Bombyx mori: one gene and its partner. The protein of the gene in region 1 interacts with the protein of each later gene in a pairwise test. Links are inferred from orthologs where the notes say so. Each region holds a gene or a part of one and is shown on either strand. Other genes may lie near its edges. The genes, in order: cyclin-dependent kinase 14 and cyclin-Y-like protein 1.

What was found.
Region 2: the proteins of cyclin-dependent kinase 14 (region 1) and cyclin-Y-like protein 1 interact in a two-hybrid assay, tested with the Drosophila melanogaster proteins (2 studies listed by BioGRID). The link is inferred for Bombyx mori from reciprocal best matches to the Drosophila melanogaster genes Eip63E and CycY.

The regions. Positions count from the first base shown.
Region 1 is NC_085117.1:9,225,544-9,229,383, reverse strand, and holds part of cyclin-dependent kinase 14, read left to right. Parts: intron 1-1,795; coding exon 1,796-1,970; intron 1,971-3,717; coding exon 3,718-3,840.
Region 2 is NC_085110.1:6,232,153-6,236,504, forward strand, and holds cyclin-Y-like protein 1, read right to left. Parts: upstream 2,800-4,352; 5' UTR 2,590-2,799; intron 2,488-2,589; 5' UTR 2,366-2,487; coding exon 1,355-2,365; 3' UTR 539-1,354; downstream 1-538. Other genes in the region: uncharacterized protein LOC101741971, read left to right, coding at 137-306.

The DNA of each region.
Region 1 (3,840 bases):
TTTCAAACGAACGAAATAGTAATTATGATATGTATTTATTAACTTATTAAACGAATTTCATTCTTGAACTGACCTGTTTAAAGTTTAAATCAAATTGTCGAAACTCGCTGCGGTTTCACAGAGTGAGGTCAGGTCGAGTGGACGATTTTACCGTTCACTTTTCGAGAATTTTGTATTTCAATTACTTCATCCACTTTGGCTTTACCGGTAATTATGGTTCAGATGCATTCTTTGAAACTTTAGAGGTAAATGATTTATATATTACGTTGTTACGACTAAGACATTTTTTACTTTCAAATACTTTTACTTTACGAATATGTGTTACGAATATCTGTAAGATTTATATATCGAATGCGAGACATTTGTCGGTCGTGATTCAGAGAGGAAACTTGATGAATCTCGCCTTGTTTAATGAACGGTTGTATTGATGGCACGAACGATAGCTATCAATTACCGTCATTACGAATTGTCCGTATATAATATTGTTACAAAATTGTAGCAGAAACTGATGGTATATTTGCAAAAAATTTATGAACAAAACGTGTATCGATCGCTCTAATTTGTTTTTGTTTATTTGATTTTATATTTGTTCGTTCGAGTATCACGCACAACGATTGGATTTTGATATTTGTGAAACACTTTACTTCTGCAAGTCAATAATAATAATTATTAATAATTTATAATAATAATAATCATTATTATTTCAAAAGTCATCGTAGATAAAAGAATCAGGTCCCAGGTTTACTAGGTTTACCGGATTTTCATTTTTGTGAAACACTTTACTTCTGCTAGTCAATAAAAATAATTATTTTTAATAATTTATAATAATTATTATTATTTCAAAAGGCATCGTGGCCAAAAATTCAAGGTACCAGGTTTACTCGTATCAAGCGAAAACCTCTAGAAGTTGCGTCATTAAACCGATTCCGGCAATTTCACTTCAAGGTTTTCCCCAAGCGCGATGCTTAACGATTTTAAACCCAAACTAAAAACGCATCGATTGATTCTGAATATTTAAGTTTAGCTATTTGCTTATACAATAAATTGATATTTGTCTTCGTGTTCAGGCATAAGGGAAATATTTAGCAGGAAAAAAATACACTGTAAACTATAAATAGCTAGAACATCGCGAATGTCAAAATCATAACGCACGCTATTAAATTAATTCATTTGAATAATATTAGCCTAGAATTTAAAATTATGCAACAACATTCATGACTGCTCTCAGCTATTAGCTATTAACAATGCTACTGATAACGATGACAAATTAATGATACATCATCTCAAAACAAAAAGACAATAATGGTTAATGAGCCAGCAATGGAAATTAAACTTGATACAGGCAACCCGCATCGCGCAGTTACATTGACCTAGCGTGTCATCTGGTTTTTATTTGTGGTACATTGCTGCTATTTTACAAGTCAGTAATAATAAACATTTTAGTTCCTGTCATGGTTGCGTTAGTTACCGAAACCAGATCCCTTACTATAAGTGTACTTACTAATAAATGAACGAATCTAGACAATAAATATTCTGTATCGAGTTGATTTAAGTTTCGGAGCGACAATCTATCTTCGAGAAGTGTAAGTGGTGATAGTAATAATGAATCACTCGCTTCGGTTTGCCTTTTACGTTACACAACTTTCGATTTCAACGTGACAAATCCAATTTTCATTGATTCAACATCAAGATGAGAAACCCTAATTTCTTTTTAAAACAATTATAGCTTATGATTTTATGAAGAAAAAAAAAACACAGACACGGTTATTAAACAGGTAACGTTTTTTGTCAACAGTTTAACGCAACAAGTGGTAGCACTCAAAGAGATCAGACTGCAGGAGGAGGAAGGCGCGCCCTTCACCGCGATAAGGGAAGCCTCGCTCCTCAAAGAGTTGAAACACGCGAACATAGTCACGTTACACGATATAGTTCACACTAGGGAGACCCTGACGTTCGTCTTCGAGTTTGTGGTGAGTTAACAGGAACTTTTAATAACACACCTGTGCTGCGATTGGCCATAACAACAGATAATCTAGAAGACTGGTTCTCGTGTTACTGTGTATTAAAATTGAAGACATGAGTGGATGAAGGGGATATGATACGATTTGTTAATTTTGAGAAAACTGGCAACAAACTTTTGTTAGGTACTTGTACTTTTTCGTACGTAACTCCTTCATCACATGCAATTTCTGAAAATAGCCTTTAAACTAGGAGTTTTAAGGTCTAATATGGTTTTTAAGCACATAATACCTTCATTCCATGTAAAGCCTCAAAAATCTTAAAAATGGTACTTAACCCCCTCATCCACTCATGTCTTCAATTACAGGATGTCTGTTTTTAATTCTGGTGGAAAATTCTCTAGGATTTTTTTCCTAAATTGCAACAAATGTACTGATGGGAGTTTGCTGTACTGATGGGATGGACTGTCCATAGGATGATGCAGTACTAATAATTAAGTTGAAATTAAAATAAATTCTATATAGATCATCACATGTGATATTTGGAAATATTGATATGAAAATTTGGTGGAAAGGAATTTAATTCATTTCACAATGTCCGTGAAATAGGAGTGGGTAATATCGGTTTTGCCGCGTATCGAATCGTATCTATATATCGAGGATCAATATCGGATATTGAATCTATATATTTTCTGAATCTATATATTGATGGATGCTAGTAGATTTTCTCGATTCATGATATTTGAGATTTGAAACGATACGCTGATATAATATCGTAGTAGATATAGATTTAAGTCAACGTTACACGGTTGGTTTTCTGATATCAATTTATAATATGATCTTAAAGTAATAAAAAGAACATGAAAATAAAAATATCAAAAAAACTTTCCTTCATGCTTTTACCAGGCTTAGGACTGGCTACATTATTTTCAGTTTTTAGTATTTTGTGTCTTAATTTAAAATTACAAAATATACCAAAAGAGTGTAGATTTCAAAAGTTTAATACAAACACAAGAAATAAACTCAATTATTTGGATTCAACTAAAAATAGAAAAATGTGTACTTTAAAAATCAAACACAAAAAACTTTTAAGTATTTATAAACACTTGTCCAAAAATTCTAGTTCAAGGTCAAAGCGCGTGAAATTAAATTCAACGATGCAAATAGGCTATACTGCATTCAAGTTAGGGTCGAAAGTTGAAACTTCTTTCCTTAATTGTATCCTGCTGATACGCTAAGAATAATCTACAGACATATGGACTTAAATATAAGGTTTACAATTGTATGGATAATGCCTGTTTCTGTTTCATTCATCACATGATATCCCTATCGTGCGCTCACTCACTCTGGCCGATTCGATACGAACCAAACGAATATTGCTGATATTAACGAATCGGTACGATATGCCGATGCGCATCACATCGAGCAATATCGTGTATCGGCCGATATCGAAATATAGATTTCGATTCACGAATCGGTCCGATATGCCGATGCGCATCACATCGAGCAATATCGTGTATCGGCCGATATCGAAATATAGATTTCGATTCACGAATCGGTCCGATATGGCGATGCGCATCACATCGAGCAATAACGTGTATCGGCTGATATCGATATATAGATTTTGTGCGGGGCGATATCGGATTCAACGATATTGCTGCGATATATAGATATTGAATCTATATACGATTTATATCACCCACTCCTACCGTGAAATAATGTTAAAATAAAGTTTTTTTTGTTTCTGTTCTCATAAAAGGATACGGATCTTTCACAATACATGGAGAGGCATCCCGGAGGACTGAATCATCACAACGTTAGGCTATTCATGTTCCAACTGCTGAGGGGGCTCTCGTATTGTCATCGGAGAAGAGTATTGCAC
Region 2 (4,352 bases), on another chromosome or scaffold:
CTACTAGTAATACTAATTTCATTTGGTCTTAATAGATTTATCTGAACTAGTATATGTTGTAAGATCATATTTTATAATGCATAAAACTTACAAAGTTAATAGTTTTTAAAATAACTAATTAAAACTGTCTTTTCAGGCAACATTGCACTACATATATTTTCAGATAGCACAAGAAAAATGTATGATCTAGAAACCTTATGGTCTGTTGGGCCAGAATTTGATGGACAGATTAACAAAAAAAGTGATGTTATAGATGTATTTGAGAACTATAGTGCTTATTTGAAAGATTTGAAACCATTATCATAAGATCATAAGATCTGATATACTGAATAAGCTGTAATATGGATTTTTTTTAAGGTTTTTATGAGTTGTATTATTGTTATATGTAAGTGAATAAAAATTAGTAAATATAATCTCATGTTGTTTTTTAATATTCATTTTGTTATAGCAACAACTGTATTATAAGAAGTTTAATAACAGAAACAGGATATTAAACAGTACAGTACTTGTGTGTACTGTAGTAATTAATACCACTAAGTCTCATATAAAATGTTTTATTGAAAGATACATAAAGTATGGATTGTATAATTGAATTTTTAATACACATATATTTTATAAATAAATACGAAACAGCAGATTCAAAACTTCCTGTTTCAATAATTGTTTTGTTCATAAATTAACACATTTTTAAATATGAATAATGATCACACAAATAGTTGTTATCTAAAATAATTTGGCATTATTAATATTCAGTTCAGATATATTTAAATGCTGTATGACAATGTAATAAAATTGACAATAAAGACTACAATACATCCATACCACAATCAAAAGATCATTATGTCAGTCAAAATGCACTTGCACATACTATAAAATCTAAAAACTACAAAATAGCATATCAATAAGTATGGAAGAAACTTAACATAAGAAAATTTAAATTAAACACAAAATTGGAAGCCAATATAAAGTATGTTTCATTTAATTGTATTTTTAAATAACATAAAATAATATTGGACCACTTACTAGTCTTTCAATTCTATTAATTGCAATTTAATAATAATACTTAAGATAACCATCATTTTAATTGAAAAATAATTTTATGTACAATCATTAAAATTTTGTATGGATAATTTTACACTTACTCTTGAAATAAAGTAACAAAATAATGATCCTTTTTTATGAAATGTGAGATTTTTCATTTAACATAAACTTACTTGTGGTTTGAATGTTTATTCTATATGTAAAATGTTATCTCACTGTAGAAGGCAAAAGTTGGTGTCCTCTGTTATTATTTAAAATCATAACTTGGTCAATTTTTTTACTACTTTGGAAATAAATTTGGCTCCAACATGAATTAAGACAAAATGGCTACACTTCGTCTTACTCCAGCACCAGCATTAACATTGTCTAAACTTGACCATTTCTTAATACCATTTTTTACAATTTCAGCAGTTATTTTGTCTTCCATAACTCGTGACATCGCTTCTAACTTTTGTGCCCTTTCCTTGCTAAGAGGCTCACTAGGAAATGCTAGGTCATTAGCTTCAGCAAGTGTACGTAGATCAAAATAGTATTTAGCATAGACACTCGATGGAACATTGATATTGAATTGTAACATTTCTAGAAATTGTCGTTCAAGCTCATTCATATCTTCAACAGTTATATCTTTTAGAATTTGACAGTAGTCAACATTCCAAACTGCTTGATCGTCCCATACCTTACTCGCTAATAAGATTGCCCCTAATACAATTCTTTTCCAATTTGAAGGTGCAATATCAAGTTCAGCACAAATTAGAAGTCTCTCTAAATAGACTAGAGTAATAATAGCACATTCTGCAGTTAATTGTGCTGCATTAAATAATGTTCTTACAAATTTATAAATCTGCTTATGCTCTGGATTGTATTTATCATAGTCATCACTCACACCTTCTTTGCTCAAAGGATGAAGTTTCTCATCAAAAATATCTAACCTGCGCTCAGACATTCTATTCTTTATGTGATAGTAAATAGCAAGTGCTACACACCTCACAGTGTTTTTCAAATTTGGTTGAGACACAGTACTATCATCTAAGTAAATTGTAGAACAGGAACTGCTTTTCTTTAATTTATTGTCAGCTATTTGATGTTGGCTCCGCTTCCTAGTCATACCATTCTCTATTGAAGCTTTAGAACGTTCCATGAAAATGGTGCCAGCCATCGGATCTTGCGATGGATCGATGTCGCCATCATCAGGCTCCCTCTCGCTGATGTGTTGTATGTTATTTGAGCTTACTTCTCCTTCTGGAAGATAGTCTTCCAACTTTACTATATCTTTGCGAATGGGAGATGGACTCCGATAGCAGCAGCAACTATTTTGATTACCCATGATTTTACAACATATGACGATTATAAAGAATGTTCGTTATCATTCTACACACATTGTGTCACGACTAGATATACGGAAATAATAAGCCGACACAGAAATAAGACATAAAAGGCCCATAGTACCTGAAACAAAAGGCACAGATGAATGTTGAGTTACGATTTATGATACTTTTGTCGGTGTTGAATATAATCTATTAATCAAGAACAGTCTGTGTCGTATTATACCTTATCATTCTTGATTTGTGGAATTTTCTGATTCACAAATTGTAGAAATTTTAGAATTCATTGCATTCATTCATGATTTTTTTGACAATTAGTGAGGGAGCATTTTCCGTAATCACTAAGGCGTAGACACACAGTAAGGATTGACGTAACCGATAATTCGATTTTCATAAGAATCGCCATGATTGATTTTAATTTTACAATGGCCAGAAACAAGTAATATAAGTAGAAATAGGACTATACATAGTAATGATTATATAAACACCTTTTTTATTTTTTTATAAACACCTACAATGATGTTACATAAAATAATATTTCGGAGATATTTAATGTCATTAAATCTACATTTATTAACTTTCTATCTTTTTTGAGCCGGAAAACCAAATCATGATCTCATAGTACAAACATGTATGGATTATTAGGTGTTGTTTGTGGAGACGAAGCTCACGAGTCACCTATGGTTACCGGAGCTGCATTACAACTTGAAACTTGTAATTCTTTTTAACTCGTGGGATCTGCCTCTTTCTAGTAAGGTAGCGTTAAACGTTTAACGCAACCTTGTTTGAAGTCGCATTAGAAGTTTCACTTAAATATTATATATAATTTTAATTAAATATATATTATATAATGTTTAATTTGATTTGGTATTATTTCCTTCTGTCAATGACTTTGTTTTTATTTAATTAGCATCGATTGTGTATTAAAATTATTTTCCAACAAATAAATTTGAGCTTAAAATTTATATGACAATAAACTTCTTCCTACCTAAATTGTTTTGCTAAAGCAAATGTTTAGTACCGCGAAAGTAAAAATTAAATGACAAAGTAGATATATAAGGTACCAATTTCAAAGGAAAAAACCTTTTAGGATCATTTACCTAACTGTATGTCTATCCGAAAATTACTAACTATTTTTCTCAGAGACTGGTTACAAGTATCAAATATTTAAAACTGGGTTTTTTTTAATAAAGGATTATTTATGCCTGGAGGACATTCCAGTTTCACCAGGACAGGTGGGCGAGCATGGGCTCAGCTAGAATGGATGAGATTTGCTAACAGCTGCCCGACCGTCTCATGAGGAGACGTAACTAACTACTCAAGGGCGGCTGCTTCGCGAATGAATCTTGTACCGGAATGGAATCGTGACCCACTGAAAAGATCTGGCGAAAGCTTCAGTGGGTTAATGTTTGAGCAAGGTTGCACGTTGAACTCTCTACAGCACAAAGTTCAAGGAGTACGGTTACTAGAATCCATCCATAATCCATCGTTTTAGAGCTGAAGGCGTCTAATGCAAGATTTATTAGATCTGATGGATCCGTAAGGACGTGTGCACACAAACGACTTCCACGATGAAGGAATTGTATAACAAAACACAATACATTGATGAATTTTGTTACATGATGTGTAACAAAGTTAAAGACGTTCGCACTTTGTTTACAGTTTACTAATGGAGGGTTCCATTGATCATGGAACCCCAAGGCCTGAGCTTTGATATGGATCTATTTATTTATTAAAAGCTTTGCCTCAACCACCTCTGAGATAGTAGTTTCCTATATTTAATTAAGTGTATAGTAAGACTGCGAAGGTTGATGCTATTATTATTCCTACAACGTTTTACAATGTTTTTCTCTTCTTTTGCCTCAGTACACTGTCTTCAAGTGGACAGTTGCATGCATTTTACTACATCATAATTAGTTACCAGCTAATTACTATCAGATCCTACTTCTCAATAAGCAATAATTGAATAAAAAGTCTTTATGTTCGAAG